Elephas maximus indicus: one gene and its partners. The protein of the gene in region 2 interacts with the protein of the main gene of each other region in a pairwise test. Links are inferred from orthologs where the notes say so. Each region holds a gene or a part of one and is shown on either strand. Other genes may lie near its edges.

Evidence for each region.
Region 1: the proteins of PITX1 (region 2) and IPO13 interact in binary tests that used the Homo sapiens proteins (3 or more experiments, as listed by UniProt). The link is inferred for Elephas maximus indicus from reciprocal best matches to the Homo sapiens genes PITX1 and IPO13.
Region 3: the proteins of PITX1 (region 2) and DVL3 interact in binary tests that used the Homo sapiens proteins (3 or more experiments, as listed by UniProt). The two-hybrid records come from large-scale screens. The link is inferred for Elephas maximus indicus from reciprocal best matches to the Homo sapiens genes PITX1 and DVL3.

Annotation. Positions count from the first base shown.
Region 1 is NC_064821.1:86,204,995-86,212,910, reverse strand, and holds the start of IPO13 (importin-13), read right to left. Parts: upstream 3,088-7,916; 5' UTR 2,411-3,087; coding exon 2,327-2,410; intron 613-2,326; coding exon 1-612. UniProt on the Homo sapiens protein: Functions in nuclear protein import as nuclear transport receptor. Serves as receptor for nuclear localization signals (NLS) in cargo substrates.
Region 2 is NC_064820.1:147,512,418-147,520,430, forward strand, and holds the start of PITX1 (pituitary homeobox 1), read right to left. Parts: upstream 3,066-8,013; 5' UTR 2,878-3,065; intron 2,812-2,877; exon of another isoform or gene 2,601-2,811; intron 2,398-2,600; 5' UTR 2,274-2,397; intron 2,266-2,273; exon of another isoform or gene 1,906-2,265; 5' UTR 1,768-1,905; intron 1-1,767. UniProt on the Homo sapiens protein: Sequence-specific transcription factor that binds gene promoters and activates their transcription. May play a role in the development of anterior structures, and in particular, the brain and facies and in specifying the identity or structure of hindlimb.
Region 3 is NC_064819.1:30,911,078-30,918,576, forward strand, and holds the start of DVL3 (segment polarity protein dishevelled homolog DVL-3), read right to left. Parts: upstream 3,002-7,499; 5' UTR 2,835-3,001; coding exon 2,674-2,834; intron 1-2,673. UniProt on the Homo sapiens protein: Involved in the signal transduction pathway mediated by multiple Wnt genes.

The DNA of each region.
Region 1 (7,916 bases), on a different chromosome or scaffold from region 2:
CAGCTGCACCCAGCTGGAGAAGCACTTGAGCACCTTCTGACGCACACAGCTGGGTGAGCTGGGTTGCTGTAACAGCTGCTCCAGTAATGGAAAGACAGCCCCACACTCCACCGCCAGGCTGGCCCGCACCAGCCCTTTGCGGTATTGGGGCAGGCGACTGGTCTGGAACTCCTCGGGCAGCACTGTCAGCAGCTCTAGCAGGGCCAGGCAGCGGCCCTGGCCATCCACTGGTGAGTCCTCAGCCTGGAAGAGCCGTACCATATCTGCCACAGCACATGGCCAAGCGTCAGGCATCATGCTGAGAGCCAGCGAGGCCAGTGCCACACAGAGACGAGTCAGCACAATCTTGGAGCCACTGGCAAAGTGGGTGATCTGGGTAAAGAGCTGTGCCTTTAGGCTTTCGTACTGGTCAGTGGGGATGTCACTCCAGTAGCGAGAGATTTTGATGTGCAGGGCACTGGCCCCAAAGTACTGGATCTCAGGCACCTTGTCGGGCTGCAGTAGCTGCCAGCTGAAGTGCCAGGCCTGTGGGGAGACCTGGGCCTGCATCAGCCACTTCTGAGCCAGGTTCTTGTTCTCAATGTTGGGGTCATAGTAGAGCTGGTGCAGTGCCTGCAGGACAGCACAGGACTGAGCAGATGCTGGCCACTCTGGATCGTGCCAGAGCCCAGAACAGAGGGCATGATTTGGTCCTGCAAGACTGCCCCCCTCCCTGACTGGGGGGCTGGGCAGGAGGGAGAGCTCAGGGCTCGGCAGTGTTTCCTGGGCCCAGGGTCCTCTGATATCTTGAGAGCCTGAACCTTGCCCATGCTCTACCATACTCTCTTCTTGAAGCAAAACGTATGAGTTCAAAGAGGGAACCCAGGAAAGCAGGAAAAAAGGAGGCTGAGATCCCCAAAGGAGAGGCACTTGAGGTAAAGGGCAAGGTCCAGGTGGAAGGAATGGCTCCGTGGGGAAAAAGCCAAGCCTGAGAAAAGCATGGCGCAGCCTCAAGGGCTCTGACCCTCCCAGGCACAGCTGCTCCCATCAGCTCCAACAGCTCCCTTCAGCTCCCCCAGGATCATCCCTAAGTCACTCCAGATGCTGGCACCAAAGGCAGTATGAAATCTGAGCAGGACTTAGACTTTGCCAGGCAGCCCTGAAGCAGAGATATACTGGAGGGGAGAGTGAGAACACCTCTCAGAGAGCACATGTGAGGGTCCAAGTCGGTCCAGAGAAGCCTTGGCCACAGCTGCAGCCCTGGAAAACGTCTAGCCTTTAGATCTCAACTAGCAGAATCCTCAGGGCCCCAATTCCACTGGGACTTCACGCAGTAAGAAAACAGTGGCTTATCTCCCCGGTAGCACATGGAACCTTGCGCCACCATGCCAACACTGCCCAGCCCTAGGGGGTGGGAGAGTGAGGCCAAGACACTGACCCCTAAGAAGGCTCCACCCAAGTAGGCTTAGCCCTATCTATACCCCTGCCAGCCAGTTGTCTGGCTCCTCGGGATGCTGAGGCAGGCAGAGAACAGAAGCAGAAGGGATGCATTCTCACAGTTTGGCATGGCAACAGGGTTCAAGAATAAGTACTGAATATCTCCAGCCTCTGCTTCCAGCAAGGTGGCCCCAGGCATTTCCCCACTCATCCCAGGAGGCATGCATTCCTGCATTCCAAGCCCCTGGAGACAGAACCCAGAAAAGAACCAGAGAAGCAACCCCAAAAAAGGTGGACTAAGCAGGAGGGCAGCCTGGGAGGCCCATGGCAAGGGGTTATGTGGGGAGGTGAGTAGGGAAGCGTCCTGTGAAGCTGCCAGCAGGGCCAGGCCCCTCCGACATAGCACAAAGTAAAGGGGACAGCCACTCCCAAAGCACCCTTACCAAGGAAGAGCAAAAACATAACCCAGATTGTTTTAATTCCAGATTATTTTCGGAGCCCCAGGTGCAACAAAGTCAGGGTCCAGGATGGTCTAGCGCCTGTATGGTTCCTGGGAACTAAGCTGCACATTTGCTGGGTTCCTGGTTTCCTACTGCACTGCTCATGCAGTTTCCATGGAGCTGGAGCGTGGCCAGCCTGCCTTGGAGGTCTAAGCCATCAGCTCCCTGAAGCGACCATCCCAAGACCCTACAGTATCTCTCCACAGGGGACCCGTGTCTAAGGAAAGACAAAAATAGCCCATTAGGAGACTGCAAAACTGCTGTCCTGCCTGCCAAGAGAGACAGCAAAAGCCAGGTGCTCTGGGGCACCATCCCAGCAGGCATCCAGCCCAGGCCTAGGCTTGGGCTTCAATGTCAGTTCCCAGAACTTCTGCTCTGTCACTGGAGTGCCCACCCCAGGGCCCTCATACCTTCTCCACGTTCTCCACAGTGAAGTCCAAGGCTGATGCTGCTCCAGCCCCTGCAGCCCCTGGCTGCTCCTCCCGCCGCTCCATCTTTGCTCCCTCCCCAGTAGGGAGGTAGACCCTGACCTTTCTCCTGCCCCAGCCCCTTGGCTGCTGACGCCCTGCTAGACCCCAGCTTGGGTACCCAGGGAGTGGTAGGGTGACGGGGGACCCAAGGCAGGCATGGCTACGGAGGCCTTCCCACCTCGGCTGGAGGTGGGGTGCTTGCCAGAGATCAAAGGGGGTGCTTATATGAGGAGACCCCCTGAGGAGGACTCCCAGGAGAAGGCAGCCGTCTGAGTGGAGCTATTAGGCGGAGGTCCTAATGGTAGGTCACGGCTCTATCCTCAGAATCTGTGAGAGGCAGTCATGGGGGAGGTCTGTGAGGGAAACCGAGCCCCTGGCCCGTGAGGGATCACAGGGTCGTTGACCTGTACCTACAACACCCTCATCTGGGGGTGCTCTCGGGTCCTACGAGGAGGTCACGAGGGTGGGGAGATCACGGGGGAGAGAGCCTTTTGCGGGTTACGGAGAAGTCCAAGGAAGCGCGGGGGTGCAGCTTTGAGAGCTTGGGACGAAGGGTCCGTGGAGTTGAGGGTCTGTGGCAGGTCCCCTCCGCTCGGCCTGGCCCACGATCTGCTCACCGCCCAGCTCCGGCCCCTCTACCGCCGCTGCCTCCGCCCCAGTGACTGACAGGCGAGCTGGTCCAGCCGGGACGGGGCGGGGACCTTGGCAAGCGCAGGGTGCCCCGAGCGCCTGTCCCCGGCCCCGCCAACACAAGCCCCCCCCCCCCGCCTGCCTTGGCCCACCCCGACCCGGCACAGCCCGGCACGGTCCAGCGGAACTGCGCGGAAACTCATTCCGGGTCCCTGGCCCTGTCCTCGCGCCAGTCTGCGCGACCCCGAGCAGGCGACGGAGCGGCTCGCCGCCCGAGGCCCCCGCCGAGCCAAGGCCCCGCAACTGTGCACTCTGGGAAGTGTAGTCCGTGTTGCGCCGAGCCGGAGGGCGGTGCCTGGCGGCGGAGGCCGGGAGCACGTGGGCCAATATCCGCTGAGTCCCGGTCCGCCCCAGGCCTCCCGCTGACTGCCGGCACTTCCGGACAGGCAGTCGGTGGCGCTGCGGAGCAGATCCCGAAGAGGTTGTGACTCAAGGGCCCGGTGGGTGGAGGTGGGAGCTCGGGGCTGTAGGATCGAGGAACCCAGTTCACTCTGGTTGCTCCGCTCTGGGCGCAAGCGTCAGCACCACCCAGAGAAGTGAGGGGACTTGGCGCGCCTCAGGAAAAAAAAAAAAAAAGGATGTCTCGCTTGGCCACCCAGACAGCTAGCAGGAATCCACATACCATGGACAGTGCTCGGAGAATTCCCTACGGTTTTTGGAAACACCACCACTCGTCTGTGAGTTTGTCGTACTCTGGAGGCTTGCGTGTTGCTGTGATGCTGGAGGCTATGTCACCGGTATTTAAAATACCAGCAGGGTCACCCGTGGTGGACAGATTTCAGTGGAGCTTCCAGACTAAGACACACTAGGAAGAAGGGCCTGGCGACATAATTCTAAAAAAAATGGCAAGTGAAAACTTTTTGAATAGCAGTAGTACATTGTCTGAAGGAACAAATCTGTCTTGGAAGAAGCACAGCCAGAATGCTCCGTAGAAGGAAGGCCGGTGAGACTTGACTCACATACTTTGGGCATGTTATCCAGAGGGATCAGTCCCTGGAGAAGGGTATCATGCTTGGTAGGGCGTCAGCAAAAAGAGGAAGACCCTCTAGGAGATGGATTGACACAGTGGCTGCAGCATGAGCTCAAACATAGCAACAATTGTGAGGATGGGGCAGGCCTGGGCAGTGTTTGATTCTGTTGTCCTTAGGGTCGCTATGAGTTGGAGACAGAACCTAACAACAACAACTTGGAAACAACTTCTCTCTATGAGTAATTAGAATAAGAATAAAAAACCAACCCAGTGCCCTCGAGTCGATTCCGACTCATAGTGACCCTGTAGGACAGAGTAGAACTGCCCCATAGAGTTTCCAGGGAGCGCTTGGCAGATTCCAACTGCCGACCCTTTGCTTAGCAGCCTTAGCACTTAACCACTATGCCACCAGGGTTTCCAGAATAAGAATAGCTCACCTTTAACTGCTAGGAACAGTACTTTGCATATTGTAGGTCCATTTCTCTCAGCAACTCTAAGGTAGGTGTTTTCATTCAACATTTTCAGATAAGAAACAGGATTTGGGGAAGGTTAAGCAAATCTTGGAAGTCCCTGGGTGGCTCAGATGATTAAGTGAACCAAAAGGTTGGTGGTTTGAATCCACCTAAGCACCTCAGAAGAAAGGCCTGGTGATCTACTTCCAAAAAATTACAGCTGTTGGAAACCCAATGGAGCACAGGTCTACTCTGAAAAACATGGAGGCTCAATGAGTCGGAATCGACTCCATGGCAACTTTTTTTTTTTTTTTTAAGCATATTTGTCCCTAGACACATAGCTAGGGTGGCAGAGTGGGGCCTCAGATCTGGTTTGCCCCGGTCCAGAGTCCAGCAGTCCCTGTGATACTGCCTTTCACCACTCCAGTTTGTTCCTTAGTTAACTCCTGCCAGCTACCCCAGCAAGAAAAAAAAAAAAATTAAAAGGGAAAGGACCTCTGTACTGTCCTAAGGCCTGAGAAGGTGGATGAAGTCTTCCTGAGAAGGAGAAGCTTGATCTGAGCTTGAGGAATAGAGTCTGGGGAGGAGGGCCTCTCCATATGCTGGTAAGCAAAGTCCAGGGAGAAGCTAGTCATTCAACAAACCTTTATCGAGAAAGTATTGGAAGAACAGCTAGTAATTTGTGTTCTGCTTCAGGGTATATATATATGTGGGGTGAGGAGGTGGGTGGAGGTTAGTAACAGAGATGAGGTTGAAAAGACAAGTTGGAAGCAATAGACTTCTGTAGTTTTTAACCTAAATGCAATGTGAAGCCAAGATGAGTTTTAAAGTGAGCAGTGATGATTGGATTTGCATTTTAGAAAATCTGTTTGCATAATGGAGGGTGAATTGAAGGAGGAAAGAGTAGAGGCAGGGGACCTTTGGTAGGAGTAAACCAAACCCATTGCTCTTGCTTTGATTCTGGCTCTTAGCGAGCCTCTAGGACAGAGTAGAACTGCACCATCGATCTTTTGGTTAGCAGCCAAGCTCTTTACTGTGCCACCTGGAATCCTTAGGAGGAAACAGGAAGCCAGAATAAAGTGGGTGATTCCAGACCTGTGCCTGGGTGGGGGAGGATGTAAAACGCTCTGGCTCTGGTGCTGCTTTTACTGTTGGAAGTGGGGGGAGGGAAGAAAGGGATAGTTACCTTTCAGCATGGGAGTTTAAGAGCACAGATTCTGGACTTAGGCCTGGGTTAAACACCTGGCCCTGCCCCTTTCTAGCTATGACTGCTCGGCTTCTTCTGAGACTCACTTTCCTATTAAAAAAAAAAAGCATAGTAATTCCTCCAAAAAACAAAACAAAACAAAACCCGTTGTGGCATCCTACTTCCAGTAAAGGACAAATTGAGGTGATTGACGAGTAGGGCTTGGTCCAGAGGCCACAACTTGGTTAATAGGAGTTTTCTTCCTACTTCCAGTCCAGGGCTCCTTCCTCTCACCCCGGAAGTCCCCCAGCAGATAAAGAAGCTAAGCATCACCAAAGTGGTTCCTGAACATGCTTCACAAATACCACCTAAGGCAGATGGACTAAAGTAGGCCCTATTGTTGTGTGCCCTCAAGTCAATTTCGACTCATGAACTGTGTAAGGTAGAGTAGAAGCGCCCCATAGGATTTCCTAGGCTGATATCTTTACAGGAACAGATCACCAGGTCTTTTCGCCCTTGGAACAGCTGGTGGGTTAGGATCGAGGACCTTTCAGTTAGCATCTGAGCACTTCACCATTGTGCAACCAAAAAAAATCTGTTGCCACCAAGTCTATTCTGACTCATAGTGACCCTATAGGGCAGAGTAGAACTGCTCCATAGGGTTTCCAAGTATGTAATCTTTATGGGAGCAGATTGCCACATTTTTCTCCCAAGGAGCAACTGGTGGGTTTGAGCCACCAACCTTTTGGTTAGCAGCCAAGTGCTTAACCACTTCACCACCCGGGCTCCACAGCAGGCCCCTACAAAAAAAAAAAACAAAAAAAAAAACCAAACCCCTTGCCATCAAGTCAATTCTAACTCATAGCGACCCTACAGGACAGAGTAGAACTGTCCCATAGGGTTTCCGAGGAGTGGCTGGTAGATTCGAACTGCTAGCCTTTTGGTTAGCAGCCAAGCTCTTAACCACTGTGCCACCAGGGCTCCAAGTAGGCCCCAGGAAGGGCCATTTCTTGGGAATCTCTATTCAAGGGGGGCCTTTAGGAGATGACAGTGCAGGATAGCTTAGAGCCAGTTGTAGAAGGTATGAGTAGAATGTATAGGTGTTAGAGCCTATGACAGTCTGGGAAGGGCCCGCAGATTCAGGAAAGAGCATCCCAAGGAGACAGAGCCTCTGTTGGGCACCTGGTGCCACCACCAATCCATGTCCATGTCCATGTCAAACTAAGTTCTCAGTCTGAAGTTTTTCACTCTACCAAAATAGTGTGAATTTGGACTGCAAAACCTGATGGGAGCCTGCTTGTAGATGCAAGTTCTTAGGGGAGGCTTTTTTCCCATTCTACTTAGCACCAAGGTCAGATGCAGGCAGTTTTCTTTGTAGTTCCCAGGTTTTGCAGGGGAGGGTAGGTAGGAGACGGACAGCTTTATTTCTAATTCACCCTTAAACTGTGGGCATGGCCCTTTGGAGTCCTGGCTTTATGGAGAAGCTTCTGAATAGACTTCCACTGTGAGTGAACTCTGGACTTTTGTCTTCTTTCCCATAAACTCAGGGAGCCTTCCTGGGTAAAGAAAATGTCCTCAAGGTGAAAGCCAGCTTCAGAGCTTTGCTTATCTTTCTAGTGTCCTGTTTTCACTTATTTTTTGACCTGAGAGTTTCTTATATTCTTGGATGCATTTAATTTTGATATATATATATATATTGTTTGTTTTTTGACCACTCTTTTGTGGTTTCCTTCAGGGACTTGTCCCCCTTTCTCTTCCTAGCCCTTAAATGTTGATTCTTCAGGGCCTTAGCCTGTGGTTCTCTTCCTATTCCTCCATATCTCACCACTCCTGGGCTTCGAGCTGTGCCTTTCAGATCTCTCTAAACCAGACTGTCCTGAGTTCCAGACTCTTACATCCAGCTGCCTCCTTGCCTCCCTGCCTTCTTGAACATGTATAAAACTGAACTCAGGACCTTCTTACACGTTATCTCAATCACATGCTAAAGATACTACTTCCCCTGTGTTCTTCGCCAGTCACCAAGCCAGACACCTGGAAACCCTCCCTTTCCTCAAGCCCCTACCACCAGCTGGTCACAGGTCCTGCTTACTGTGCCTCACCTCTTGCCTGTCCTTCCATACTGCTCTATCCTAGATCAAGACACCAGCATGTCTTGCCTGAATTATTGCAAAAGCTCTAACTGGCCTCTCTTGCCGCCTGTCTTGGCCCTTCCACTCCATACTAGGCACAACA
Region 2 (8,013 bases):
CCTTCTGCCTGACTTAACACCCCCTCCCCAATAAAAGCTCTTGTTTCTTTGAACGCAAGCAATTATTGGGTGAGGGTGCTCAGGCAGGGGCTGGGAACGATCTCGCTGGGTCTTTTAGGCCTCCCAGGACCCCAGCCCAAGGATTCCTACCATTCCGGGATCCCCAGCGTGTCCTGTTGGGGAGCTGTGGGATGCACTCGGCTGGACGGTGCTAGTGGCACGCCAGCGGGAGTGAGGAACTGGTCTCTGTGCTGTGGACTGCTCAGCCTGCTCGGTCAGGGCAGCGGCTGGTAGGGCCCCTGGCTCTCCTGAGCCCAGCAAAAAACGTTGGGTGGCTGAGCGAAAGAGAGGGCTAGGAAAGTGGCCATGGCTGGCCACATAACTGGGGAGTAGAGGGTCAGGTTTTGCTGCACCACAGCCTCCTTTTTCCAGCAGCTGCTTTTCTGGGAGAAGGGCGCTCTGAGTCTGGCTCGGAGGTCAACAAATAGAGCCTCTACCACCTAGAGTTGAAGCAGCCACAGATCGGTGCCCCAGCTCACCACTTTTCCTTTCTTTGGCAGAGGTGGAGAGTCCCAAAATGTCTTGGGGAAGGGCAGGAGGACAGCAAGTCCCTCTCCTATGCTGCCCTGGTGCCCACAGCCTTTGTCATTACCCTAGACTTCTTCATTACCCTAGACCTGCATCCTCGGCCAAGTGGACAGCAACCTGGGGTTTCCTGCTCTGGCCTTGGTGGCTGTCGGAGGCAACCACAAATCCAGCATACCGGGGCCTTAGTTTTTCAGAGAAGTGGATTTAATATTTTTAGATTCAGGGAATTCCCAAATCAGAAAACCTTTGAACCATGATTCCAGACCGGGGTTCCCATTTTTGCTACCTGGCTTCAGAGCCCTTGCTTTGCCACAGTAGAATCGGCTCCAACTTTCGTGGCTGTTCAGTTTCAGAATCCCTAGACCCGGCTCTAGAGAAGAAGCTGTGTGCTGGGGAATCCTCCGTCAGCAACCAGAACCGGGAGAAGCCGTGGGAATGTCTTTATTGGACTTTACTAAAAGCATTTAGGGTTTCTGTAAGGGGAAGGTGAGGCCCAACCCGTATGGGAGAGGGCAGCTCTGCGCGCGGGGCAGGCCGCCCTGGGCTGGGGGTGCCTCCCAGCGCTGCGGCGGACGTCGGGGTTGGCGATCGAAGGGACCCGAGGCTCCGGGGCTCCGGCCGATGTCTGCTGCTTTTCTGCCATATTGCTGCTCGAACGAACAAACGAGCGAAGCGGTTTCGTTTAGGACAAATACCCTCTTGACGCGAAGCTACGGCCGAAGTCCCGGGCCATGGAGAGGGGCCTGCGCATCCGCCTGTGCTGGGGGCCCTCAACCCAGGGCATATCGGGGAACAGCGGACAGCCCTCTCGCCTGTCCCTTTCTCCCTGGGGACCCCTTGCGCCCTGGCCACCGCTAGAAGTTGCGCGGGGCGTCCAGGGTGTCCTTGGCCTGCGCCCCCAAGGCTGCTGCCTTCTTGGGGTGCCTGGGGCCGAAGCGCGGGGTGGGCCCACCAGTTAGGTGAGGTAGCGCCCGGAGATGGCAGCTGTGACCGTGCGCACCACTCAGGAATGAACTCCTCGCTCTGCCCCGATGGCGCCTGGCCTTCCGCGCATTGCGCTCGGTCCTGCCCCACCGGCTGGACCGCACGGAGCAAACAGCGCGGGACTCGGCCGCCACTTCCCTGCGCTCCTCCACCGCGGAGCGTCGGCGTCCCCTAGCCCAGCGTTTCTAACCCTACCTGGGCTGCGCTGCGTCTGCGGCTCGTCGGCTCCGGGCTCGCCTGCCGCCGACTCAGATTTAGATTTCGGCTCCGGCTGGGGCCCCGGATCCAATTCAGTCTCCGACTCTGCGCGCTGCTTCGGCCCCCGCCGGGTCGCTACATCCCAGCGCGTAAGGTCCGGGCTGCCTCGGCTCGGCCCGCTCCTCCTGCCGCGGCGGCTGCCGCCGCCCGTCGCCCGCGGGGAAGGCGGGGACACCGGCCGGGGAGGCGGGAAGGGGGGGAGGGGAAGCAAGGCGCTAGCCTAGGCAAGCGGGGAGGGGGCGGCGCGCAGTCCAGCGGGCTAGGGGCCCTGTCCTCCCTCGGGAAGCAGGCTGGGGTCTCACGGCTCTCCGCAGAGGCCCTAGGCCGGGAAGCGCGCCCCGGGACGGCTGGTGCGTGGGAGGGGCTCCAGCCGTCTGCGGTTGAAGCTGCTGGGGTCCCACCCTAGCCCAGACACTTTACTCTTGCTGGGCTCAGTTACCCACCTGGCACGTTAGGGGACGGGCCGGCTTCCGTTTAGTCCGGGTCTGATCGGAGTTTCCCGGGGGCCTGCCAGGTGATGGTCAAGCTGGGGTTATGAGAGTCAATCCTTTCCTTTTCCTGCTCAGCCTGCGGGAGGGAGCCGGGTTTGCATGTTGGCAGAGAGAATCAGCTGTGCAGATTTTGGCAGCCACGGAGGTTTGAGGTCAGACCCCAAGGTTTCTCTATGTAAGGGGGTGCTCGGGAGGGGCAATCGCCCGACCGGCCCTGCTTGGGGAATTTCCCCTTCTCCCTCTTCAGAGACTCGTCTGGGGAATAAAGGGGAGGCCAACCTCACGAGGACAGACGCCTCTGCGACTCCTTGTCTGGTCCCTTCCCTTGCACACCCTCCAGCGGCCGCCTTTCTCCCGGACGGCGCACGTGGGAGGCCTCTGCCCATGTGGTCCCTCAGGTCGGTTCCTGGCTGGCAGCCATTGGGAGACTGGAAGGACTGAGGGGACCTGGGGGCCTGCCCCTCTCTCACCCGTAGGCCTCCGGATTCCCCAGCGTTGCCTAGTGGCCAGATAACCCCGCAAGTGAAACCTCAAGGGGGAGACCCATTGGCAGAACCTGCTCCGGCTTTCCCCAAGCTCTCAGTCTGAGCCTCCGGCTTCTGGAATGGTGGGATGGGACGAGTTCGGCTGTGACTGTTTATCCAGGCCCAGACTGCGGGACAAGAGCGGCCGAGCCTGCCCGCCGACACCCCAGGGCTCTGGGATGGCCGCTTCGGCGCTAGGTGCCGGGAGATGGCAGCGCGGCGGCCGGCGTCAATGTTGCACGAGATGCCATCATCGGCGGCGCCTCCCTCCCTGGTTCTCGCTGACAGCTGGTGCTGGTGAGGCTGCAGCCCCGACGCCCGACCTGGCGCCCTGCTCCGCCGCGCCTCCAGGGCCGCCTAGCCTCGGAAAGCGCAGAGCCGAGACCCCCGCCCTACCCTCAAGGCCGGAAGCCAGCCCGACGCAAGCTCCCAGAGGCCAGGGCATTCAGGCCCTGCGGGGTGGCCCTTGCACCCTGTCCTGCTTTTCCGGGACTCCGCGACCTCCTCTCAATCCTTAAAAGCCGGAACCCTTCTCCAGGGGTGTGTGGGGATCAGTGCGCACGGGGTCATAAGGGCTAAAAGACGCGCCTTGGACGCCGGCGCTTTCAGACCTGGACCTAGAGGCCTACTTGGGGAAACGCAATCTTGTGGCTTGGACCTTGCGCTGCCCGGGATTGCAATCCCACGCCTCTCTCCCCACCGCTAGTTGTGCGTTTTATGTGTGAAAATGGCCTGTTGGCAGGCCTGGCCCTGTGGGCCTTGTCCCTGGCAGCCTTACCCCCCACCCCAAGCGCCCAGACACCTTTGGGCATAAATGCAACCGCAGGACCCTTATTGTGAAGGCCGAGAGACAGGCACCTGGCTGGGGTGGTTTCATTTAGGTGTCTCACCCTTCCACCCCTGTACACCAGCGATTTTCAGGGGTTTTGTTCCCAGTGGGTGACGGGGTGGTGGTGTCATCATTCTCTGCTATGTTCTTGTTCTCAGCTAGGGCCTGTGGCACCAAGACACTGCTAATGGCCTGTGCTGGAGTCTTGTCTGTGCCTTATACTAGCTGTTTGGCTTTGGGCAAGTCACATAACCTCTTCCAGCCTCAACTTATCTGTCTGTGAAACAGGAGAGTAAGAGTATCGACTTTACAAGGCAGTTGAGGAATCGATGAGACAAAGCAAGTGAAGGGCTTAGCACTATGTTTTGTGGAGTTGAATGCTAAAGGTAACACCCGTCAGGTCACTTTGTTCTTTAAAAGTTTGCTCTAATTTTTGTTTCCCTCTTTCACCAGTGACGAGCCCTGGTAGCCAGTGGTTAAAGCCTTTGGCTGCTAACGGAAAGGTCAGCAGTATGAACCCATGGGAGAAAGATGTGGCTGTCTGCTTCCATAAAGATTTATAGCCTTGGAAACCCTATGGGGGCAGTTCCACTCTGTCCTATAGGGTCTCGATGGCAGTGGGTTTGTTGGGTTTTCCCCAGCATGGTCACATTGGTTGAGTCAGGCAGGAGCAGAACACCTCTCTGATTTAGCAGAGCTGCTCCTTATTCCCTCCAGGCTGGGCAGACTGGGTGGGGCCAGAGCCTGACAACCTGGAAGTTCTTGGAAGGTCAAAACAGGCTTTGTATGATTTCATTTTCCCCTCTTCCAAAAAGAATTTTCCACAATTTCCCTTTAGCTTTTGACATCTTGAGGCACATATATTTCCACTGTCAAGGCAGATGGATTGGAAATCAAAGAGAGGAAGAGCGGGGCAGGGTCCACTAGGAACAGAAGTAACACAGTCCCTGTATCTAAGTGTCACTTTAGCTTTGAGCTTCCTAGTACCTAAGTGAAAAGTGCAACAAGATTGGTTGACACAGTTGTTTTGTCTCTTCTTCCAAAATGGCATGCTTCCTTTAGTCAGAAGAAGTTTTTCTCCATAGTACAAAACTCCAAGTTGGATTTGTCACATCTGAATAGCATAATGGGCAAATGGCTTCAGTCACAGTTTTGCAGTGTTTCTTAATATCCAGTAAAAGTAGGGAGAGTGTCTGTCTTAGTTATCTAATGCTGCCATAACAGAAATACCACAAGTGGATGGCTTTAACAAAGAGAAATTTATTCTCTCACAATTGAGCAGGCTACAACTCCAAATTCAGGGTGTCAGCTCCAGGGGAAGGCCTTGTCTCTCTGTCGGCTCTGGAGGAAGGTCCTTGTCATCAGTCTTTCCCTGGTCGAGGAGCTTCTCAGTGCAGGGACCCTGGGTCCAAAGGATATGCTCTGCTCCTGGCTCTGCTTTCCTGGTGGTACGAGGTCCCCATGTCTCTCTGCTTGCTTCTCTCTTTTATATCTCAAAAGAGATTGGCTTAAGACATCATCTAATCTTGTAGATCTCATCAATGTAACTGCCACTAATCCATCTCATTACATTATAGTGATAAGATTTACAACACGTAGGAAAATCATGTCAGATGACAAAATGGTAGACAATCATACAATACTGGGAATCATGACCTAGCCAAGTTGACAGATATTTTTGGAGGACACAATTCCATCCATGACAGTGACCTTTTCCTTCATGGGTCTTATTGCAATAGTATTGAAATAATTATTTGTGTAATGATTGGTTAAAATCTGTTGCCCTTACCATTTGTAAGCTCCTTGAGAGCAGAGCTGAGCCTCTCTTGTTCACTACAGGACCCTTGCTAGCATGGTCAAGGGATTCGATTATGCTGATTGGCTGGGTACAGCTCACATGCCCACTCCTAAACCAATCTCTTTGTGGAGAAGAGTGGTTTAGGGGTGTGGTTGGCCAGGCCAGGGTCACAGGCTCCACCCTAGAAGGATTACTCCCTACCAAAAGGAATACTCACTACATTCCCCCAAGAATCTTAGCTGCTGTCCCTTAGCAAGCTCTCAGAGTTAGAATTGTGGCAGGGAAGGTGTTAGTCTTCAAAGAAGCCCCTGCCCTGTGAAGGTTCTCAAGGGCCTGGTGGTGGAGTGGGTAAGAGTCCACCCTAATGTGATGGGGAGGCACTGGTTCTCTTGGGAGAGTCTGAAGTCCAACAGGACTGTTCTGGCACTCATCTGTGGCAAAGAGGTGAGAGTGCCACCAGAAAGCCTGAGGGGAGGCTCAGAGTCTGCTGATTCCATATAGAGATGGACCCACAAAGCAAGGGAGGGTATCCATTTGTGGTCCCTTGCTCATCCTTGAGAAGGAGGGAGTTGGAGAATCTGAAAGTGGAGAAGACCTCCTAGGATCAGGCAAGATGTTGATGTACTTGAACATTGATTATAGTGCACTCTGAGGCTCCTGGGAGCCAAAGCAAAAAGAGAAACCTTTTGAGCATCTCAAGTACTTTTTTTTTTTTTTCATTGCAGACCTGTCAGCATCTGTAAGGAACAGTGGGAAGAACTCTGGTCTGGGACCCTCTTGGACTGGCCTCTCTCAGGTCAGCAAAGGTTTAGAAAGCACACACTTCATGCCCATGATCACAGAGATGCAGAGATGGATGGCTTCTGCTCATGTGGGTTGAGCTGAGGAGGCAGACGTACAAACCCATAACCATATTTGGAGCACAAATGCTGGAGACGAAATCTGCAGCCCGCTGTTGAAGGGTCTTGAATGACATACTACAGAGTTTGTTTGGAACAGTATTTCCACCCCGCCCCTCTCCACTCCCTGGGAAAACAGTACGAACAAAGGCCCAGAGGTGAGAGAATTGTGGTATACCTGAGAATTTGAAAGAAGGGCAGTGTGGCTACAGAATAGCATTGAGGGCAGGTGAGAAGGCAGAGAATGGGGGAAGAGGAGGTTGGAGAATTAAATAGGAGCCGGATACTGTGGGGCTTCATGAAGCTTTGTAGTATTGTAGTATAGTGGGGTATTATTCTGAAGACGAAGAGACGTAGATGAAGGGTTTAAGAAGGGAGACGGTTGGTTAGATTAATATTTCAGAAAGATCACTCAGCCTGGAGAGTGTAGGATGGATTCCAGGGGGTGAGGTGGGAGCAGGCTATTGTAACATCATTCACTCAGCCACTACATCCATCTGTTTGTCCATCCATGCGCCATGAGCACAGTTGGCCACAGCTTGGCAGAGGAAATATGAGAGTGAGAAGTTATGGTCTCTGAGTTTCTGGAGGGCCTTAGTTTACCCATCTGTAGGCTTGGCCTGTCTCTACCATCCTCACAGGCTCTTGTGGCCAGTGCTTCACAGCCCCCCCTGCTGTCTGCTTTCTGTATGGGGAGACAGGGTGTGCGGGGCCTGAAGGGGCACAGCCACTACTGCAGACAGATGATTTGGGGAGCCAGCACAGTGAACAACTTGGTCGGAAGCTTTTAAAATAATTACCCCTGCCTGCGCTGGCTGACTGGCTGACGGGAGCCCATTAGTCCTGAGTTGGAAATTCTGAATTGTTTCATGACAATTGAAAACAAGATTGGAGGCCAGGAGGGATCTACCCATGAAATATTCATGTTTCCTTGGTGTTGTGAGGCTGCTTCCCCTCAGCTGGGGAACCTGGATGTAAATAGGGCTGATGCTTTGGAGTGATTGCCATTTGTTCTGCGGTCTTTGGGCTGACTCTCTGCAGGGAGATAGGAGTGTGTTTTTGTGCAGGGCTGTGAGGCTAGTTTGGAGATCGGCCTCATTTCAAGTTGTGCGCCTCTGCGCTTCAGCCTCACTTCCTGGCCTGAGTTCCATAGAGCTTGAGATGTTCATCTGGCCCGGATTCTCCTCAGCACTCAAGGCTCGTCTGGAGTCAGACTGGGTGTGAATGCCAGCTCTGCTCCCTTAGCATCATGAGCCTTGGCTTTCTCAGCCATTCAGTGGGAGATGCTAAGAGCTCCTGGCTCTCAGGGCTGCTGTGAGATTAGGGAGGACCATACGTGCAGGGCTGCCCTCAGCCACAGGCATATCAGCTCCTCATGAGCAGCCTATGGGAGGTTTTGGGGGCAGCCCAGTGCCACTCTGGGAGTTCTTGCCAGATGCCCAGGGCTTTCATGGCCCCTTCTCTTCTGCAAGCAAAGAATGCTTAGAAATACTTTGCGTTTTTCCCTTCCCTGCAAATCCCAAATAAATATTACTGCTGAGAGGGTGTGTGCTGAACTGGCAGGCACTTCTAGTAGGTGAGGTGCCCTGGGGTCTTGGTCAGGGACCCTACATGCCCAACTCAGGTCTCTGCTTATTGGACT
Region 3 (7,499 bases), on a different chromosome or scaffold from region 2:
CTTGGAGAGAAAGCGTCTATAAAATGCGGGTAGTAGTAACACCTACGTGGAAGAAGTACAACCAGAATGCTCCTTAGAAGCAAGTATGGTAAGGATACGTCTCACATACTTTGGGCATGTTATCAGGAGGGGTCAGTCCCTGGAGGAAGACATCATGCTTGGTAAAGTAGAGGGTCAGTGAAAAAGAGGAAGACCCTCAACGAGATGGATCAACACAGTGGCTGCAACAATGGGTTCAAGCATAGCAATGACTGTGAGGATGGCGCGGGACCAGGCACTGTTTCGCTCTGCTGTGCATAGGGGTTGCTATGAGTCGGAACCGACTTGACAGCACCTAACAACAACAATAATACCTACAGTTGTGCAGTTAAGGCTACAGACTTTGGAGCCAGATCCCTAACATCAAATCAAGCTCTGCTGCCATGTACTAGCGGTGTGACCCTGGACAAGTTAATCTTTCTGTGCCCTAGTTTCCTTGTCTGTAAAGTGGGATCTCAGTGAAGGTTCAAAAAGCATTGACATCAGTGTCTGGCACGCTGGAGTCCTCTGTGACAAGTGAGCGCTACCATGCCTTCTGCTCACTTAGCCTCCTGGGGAGGAGCGGGGTAAGAGCGAAATCAGTCTCCTCCGCTTCCTTTGTAGCATTGTTCTCAGCTCTGCTAAAGTGACCTATTCTGATATCTTGAAAAGAGTGGTGTCAGTACCACTAATGTAAGCAAGATGGCTTTAAATGGTACCTGAATGAATGTTGCTTAGTTTAATAGTTACATGTATTTATTTGAACATATTTTAGAAAAAAATAAATAGAAAGTCAGACCCATGATTTCATATTACTGGTTAGGTCAAGCTAAGAAAAAAAGCAGCTGACTGACAGTGGAGTTAAAGGAAAACATTCAGTAAACAGTAAATATAGGGTCGCTATGAGTCGGAATTGACTTGACAGCAACAGGTTTTGGTTAAGTGGATGTAATGAGGATCCTTCTATGACTGCAGTTAGGCCCGGCCAGGAGGCAGCCCAGAGAGGTCTAGGCTTAGGAGATGGGGCTAGGCCGAGTGGGCCCAGGGGTGAGTGCGGGGTGGGAACACAAGTCTATCCTAGCCCCTCAGTGCACCTGGCCCCAGGGTGGCCCCAGCCCACTGGACTGTAACTGTTTTTCCACATCTTATATTCCCAGGAAGTATCTTGGTGTTCTCTGACCCTATTCTTCTCCAACTAGGTCAGGCCGCCCGCCCCCTTGCCCCTGCCCCTTCCAGATCGATCCCTGTTCAGAATCTTCCAATCAGAGGTGTCTGTCTCTGGGCTGAAACCAGATAATCATCATGGCACCAGGAGTACCCTGCCCCAGGGTAGGAGCAAAGACAACAGACAACAGGATAGTTGGACTCCACAAAGCACTTCCCACTGTACCAAGCACTCTCTCTCTCTCTCACACACACACACAGGATTATACATATGATCACAAAATCTCACATACATGATCACACACACACATCTCACAGGCTCCTCAAACCCAGAGTCCCAGGGTGGAAAGCGACAGCCAAGCATGCCAAGGAGAAGACAGAAGGTGCTTGCTTCTTGACCCAGGAGGGCCAGGGTCCTGGGAGAGCGGCCAGACTGATGGACACATGGGAGAAGACTGTCTCTCCTCACTCTGCCCCAAAGGGCAGTGCAGGCCCCAGGCAGAGGCTGGAGAGATGGCTGCAGGCCTCAAGGACCCTGTGAGGCCTCCCCAGGGGCCTCTAGGCCAGCACCCAGCTCCTGGATGCAGGCTGGTGTGGGGGCCTTCCCCTCCTCCAGTCCCCCGGGAATTGGGAGTTGGGGGGGGCTGGGGGGGCGGTGAGGAGATGGGCTAGGCTCCCCTTCCCAGGCCAGCTGCTACAGAACCTTCCGGCTCCAACATTCCATCCCTTCTTAAAGGGGAAGTGGCAGCTTCCAAACTCTGCCTGTCCACAGCCTTGCAGCTGGGTGGAGGGGAAGACCCCGCCAGCGAGGGGAAAATGGAGAACACCAAGAGGCTCTTCCTGGCTCTCAGGCTCTGAGGCCCTTTCCAAGGCCTCCCCCTTGGCCACCACCTGGAGGAAAAGGCCTCAATACTGAGGGGAGCAAGCACCTGGGATATTTTGGACTCCTCCTCAGGGGCCAGGCGTTCGCCTCGCTCCCTTGACAACATCCTAGACACACCACAAGGGAGGGGGCGACAGCTAAACAAACACAAGGTCTGCAGGGCCCCAGCACCCGGCCACCTCCCTCCCCCCAGTCCGCAGTCCCCCCGGCGTAGCCCCGAGATGCGGGGTGCTCCAAATATGGCCCTGAGTCGTGCAGCTGAAAAGATGGAGAAGCGCTAGGCTGGGTGCCAGACACCCCAAGTCTGCGCTGAAGAGGTGGCTCCCCTGGCGGGGGAGGGCCGGACCTGGGGGGAGGGGTTGTGTGTCGTCTACGTGGGCCATCGAGTTGGTGAGGGGCTGGCGGGCCAGGAGCCGAATGCTTTTGGGGAGTTGGACGTTCCCCTAAGCTGGGTGCCCCAAGGGGCCAAGGTCCCCCACCAGAGGCGAGCGGGCGGTCCCTCGCGGGGCTGGAACCCCAGCTCCCCCAGACAGCCGGGGGGGCTCGAGCGGGCCGGGTGGCCCCCAAAGCAGGCGGCGGGGTCCGCGGTGCGGGCGGGGGCCCCTCACCCGAAATCGTCGTCCATCGACTTGAAGAAGAACTTGTAGCTGGGTCGCTGCAGCACGCCCTTGAAGTCGGCCAGGGTGACGCGCTCGGCGGGCAGCGGCAGCTTCACCAGGTACGGCGTCTCCTGCCCATCCAGGTGGTAGATGATCTTGGTCTCGCCCATGGCTCCGGCCTCCCGGGCGCCGGGCCGGGCCTCGGGGCAGTCGGCGCGGCTCAGCCCAGCTCCTTGTTCTGCGGCCTCCCCCGGGTCCCAGCGCCGCCCGCCAAGCTTCCGCTCCGCGCTCCGGCCCGCCTGGCGGCGCGACTCTTCCGGTGCCGCGGCCTCGGGTCGGGCCGCGCCCCGCCCCGCGGGCCGCCGAGCGCTGGATGCGCGCAAAGCCGGGCCCTGGCGCGCACGGCTCCGGCCCCCGCTCGGCGGGGAGCAGGCGCGGTGCCTGGGGCCCAGACCTGGAGGGGAGCCCTGACCAGGACGGCCGCACTCCTGGGCCCTCCGAGGCCCTGGCCCTGGACCGAAGACCTCCTCTGCAGGCGGGGAGGAAGGGAAGCAGGGTCTCTTCGGTCCCCAGATTTGGGGAGAGTGGGAAGTGGTTCTAAGCACGGATCGCTGGAAGCAAGGGACCTCGGTATGGCACTTTAGGGTGAGAAGTACAGCTGCGGTCATAAAAAAAAAAAAAAGAGCCCACCAAACAGGACTCCTTGAGGGCAGGGCAGGGTCGAGCTCTGAATCCGCCTTACAGCCCCAGAGCCCAGCCAGGGTCAGGTGCATAGCAATGGTTCACTAAATGGGCTGAAAGGCAAGTGAAGGTATGCGTGCCTGTCTGGGACAGGGAGTCTCAAACTAGAACTTGGTATGTTGTTCCCTGCCGCAGAGTCAGTTCTGACTCATGGCAACCCCATGTGTGTCACAGTAGATCTGTGCTCCATAGGGTTTTCAAGGCTGTGACCTTTTGGAAGCAGATCACCAGACCTGTCTTCCCAGGTGCCTCTGGGTGAGTTCAAACCGGCAACCATTTGGCTAGCAGTCCAGTGCTTAATCGTTTGCACCACCCAAGGACTCCTAGAACTAGGTATGATGGTGCCCTGACAGATTTCCTCACTCCTTAGTTTTTAATTAATTTAATAAATACTGAGTACCTACTATGTGCTAGGCATGGTGCCATGCCTGAGATATAGAAGTAGAAAGACAGGTAAGGCTGCCCTCAAAACCTTCACTCATCTAGGAGGCACATAGGCTTGTAAATAGATAAACTTCAAAAAACAAAAAAACAGACTGACTGCCGTTGAATCGATTCCAACTCATAGCAACCCTGAAGGACAGAGAAGAACTGCCCCATAGAGTTTTCAAGGAGCGCCTGCTGGATTCGAACTGCTGGCCTTTTGGTTAGCAGCTGTAGCCTAACCACTGCACCACCAGGGTTTCCAAATAAGCCAGAGAGTGATAAACTCTACTAAGAAGATAAAATGGAGTAATGTGATAGAGACAGAGGAAAGATGAGTTTGTCAAGGAAGACATCTTCCATTTGAACTAAGACCTAACTGATGAGGAGGAACCAGATACGAGAAGATTTAAGGGAAGGGTATTCCAGGCAGAGGGCAGAGTGAGTATAAAGACTCAAAGCAGGAATGTTGTCAGGTGCTGTCGAGTGCGTTCCGACTCATAGCGACCCTATATATGACAGAATGAAACACTGCCCCGTCCTCACAATCGTTGTTACGCTTGAGCCCACTGTTGCAGGTCTGTGCCAATCTATCTCACTGAGAGTCTTCCTCTCTTGATGACCCTCTCCTTTACCAAGCATGATGTCCTCCAGGGATTGGTCACTTCTGATAACATATCCAAAGTAAGCAACTATCTTGCCATCCTCACTTCTAAGGAGCATTCTGATTGTACTTCCAAATTTGAAGAATAGGAGGACAGCTATCGTGACTAGATGGACAGTGGTACGATGAGGCTGAAAAGGTAGGAAAGGGCCAGATCACATAGGGCCTTTTAGGCCACAGTAACAAGCGTGGGGAAATCCTGGTGGTGTAGTGGTTAAGTGCTATGGTGTCTAACCAAAAGGTCTGAAGTTTGAATCCACCAGGCACTCCTTGGAAACTCTAGGGGCAGTTCTACTCTGTCCTATAGGATTGCTGTAAGTTGGAATCAGCTGTGGGCAATGCCTTTGTTTTTTTTTCTTGTAACAAGTGCGGACTCTTCTCACTCCATTTGTGTACTGTTGCCCCTCTGCATTTGAAGAGTATCTCTTTTAGACACCTCTTCTGAGAGAAGCAAACCAAACCTATTGCCATCTAGTCAATCCAACTCATGGCGACTCATGTGTTACCAAGTAAAACTGTTCCACAGGGCTTTCTTGGCTGTAATCATTCTTCTGCAGGGCTGCTGGGTAAGCAACTGCCAACCTGTTGGTTAGTACACAAGCACGAACTGTTTGCACCGCCCAGGGACTTTGTTCTAAGAAACCTTCCCACATTCCCCAATGCCTCCCAAATATACTTAGCAGGATGTTCAAGGCTCTCCATAATCTCACTTCTGCTTTTATAACCTTTTGTCTCACTATATCCTGGCCCTGGTAGCTCAGTGGTTAACAGCTCAGCTGCTAACCAAAAGGTTGGCAGTTCAAATCCACCAGCGGCTCCTTGGGAACCCTATGGGGCAGTTCTACTCTGTCCTCTGTGGATGCTATGAGCCCGAATCGACTTGACAGCAATTTTTTAATATCCTGGCCAAATTTTTAACTCCAAATCAACCTTCTTGCTAGACTCTGTGCACACCTGGTATTTCCAGTTTGTACCTTTCCCTTTACTTCTTTTAGTTTAATTTTAAATATTTATCAAGGTACTGTGTGTGTATACGCAAATAGTATGCGGGAAGCTTTTAACAACAATTAAAAGACTCCCTGTCTCATTCCTCTTCCCACCCCTGGAACAAACCAAAAAAGCCAAACCCATTGCCGTTGAGTCGATTCCAACTCACAGCGACCCTACAGGACAGAGTAGAACTGCCCCATAGGGTTTCCAAGGAGCAGCTGGTGGATTTGAACTGCTGACCTTTTGGTTAGCAGTTAACCACTGAACCACCAGGGCTCCGACCCCCCAGAATAGTCACTATTAAAGTGATCTCCAGAATAGTCACTATTTTTTAAGCTCACTAGTTCTTGATTTATGTATTCTCTACGTTGCCTATGGATTTCCAAATTATTTCTTTCTTTCTTCCACCTCCCCCATCCTCTTAATATAGTGAAATCACACTTTGTTGGTTCTAGTACTTGTTGTTAGGTGCCGTTGAATTGGTCCTAACTCATAGCGACCCTAGGTACAACAGAATGAAACATTGCCTGGTCCTGCGCCACCCTCAAGATCGTTATGCTTGAGCCCATTGTTGCAGCCACTGTGTCAATCCATCTCGTTGAGGGTCTTCCTCTTTTTCACTGGCCCTCTACTTGACCAAGCATGACGTCCTTCTCCAGGGGCTGGTCTCTCCTGACAATATGTCTAAAGAACCAGTACTTAGTAGTGACATTATATGGAGCCCTGGTGGTACAGTGGTTAAGCACTGGGCTGCTACCCAAAAGGCTGGCAGTTCACTCACCAGCCTCTCTGCAGGAGAAAAGATGTGGCAGTCTGCTTCCATAAAGATTTACAGCCTTGGAAATCCTATGGGGAAGTTCTACTCTGTCCTATAGCATTGCTATGAATTGGAATCCATTTGACGGCACACAACATCAGGGAGATTATTTTGGCTATGAATGAATAAATGTTCACTGCAAAGCCATGTGTGTTCAAGGATTGCTTCCTTCCCTTTATTACTTTTTGGTTTTCCTGGCATTAATCATTGCTTTTGTTATGGACTGAATTATGTTCCCCAAAAAGTGTATCAATTTGGCTGCGTCATGATTTCCAGCATTGTGTGGTTGTCCTCCATTTTGTGATTATACCTTTATGTCAAACAGGATTAGGGTGAGATTGTAACACCCTTACCCAGGCGTACAGGGAGTTCTCTTGGGTATGGCCTGCACCACCTTTTATCTTACAAGAGATAAAAAGGAAAGGGAAGCAAGCAGAGTTAGAACCTCATACCACCAAGAAAGCTGTGCCAGGAGCAGAGCGCGTCCTTTGGACCTGGGGTCTCCACACAGAGAAGCTCCTAGTCTGGGGGAAGATCAATAAGGCTGACAGAGAAAGCCTTCCCCTGGAGTTGACACCCTGAATTTGGGCTTTTAGCCTACTTCACTGTGAGAAAATAAACTTCTCTTTGTTAAAGCCATCCACCTGTGGTATTTCTGTTATGGCAGCACTAAATGACTAAGACAGCCTTGCTTTTTCATTTGCTTTTAAGAGCTGAGCTGCTAACCAAAAAGCCGGCAGTTCAAATACACCAGCTGCTCCTTGGAAACCCTACGTGACAGCTCTATTCTGTCCTCTAGGGTCGCTATGAGTCTGAATCGACTCCACAACAATGCTTTGTCTTTTTTTTTTTGTTTTTGCTTTTTATATACTTTAATAGTCTCCAGGTGGCACAAATAGTTTGTACTCAACTTCTAACCTAAAAGTTGGTGTTCTGAACCCATCCAGGGCTACTGCAGAAGATGGGCCTGGTGATCTATTTCTGATAACAGCCAAGAAAACCCTATGAAACAGTTCTACTCTGTACCACGTGGGGTCACCATGAGTCATAATCTGATGGTCACTAACAACCTATTGTTAATTCTTCCCACCAAAATTCAATAGCTTCTGGATACACATTTCATTCACTCATTCGCATCTATTAGGTAATCCCCCAGTTCCATTTTTTCTGGAGCCTTTCATTCACCTGCTGTGGTCTGCA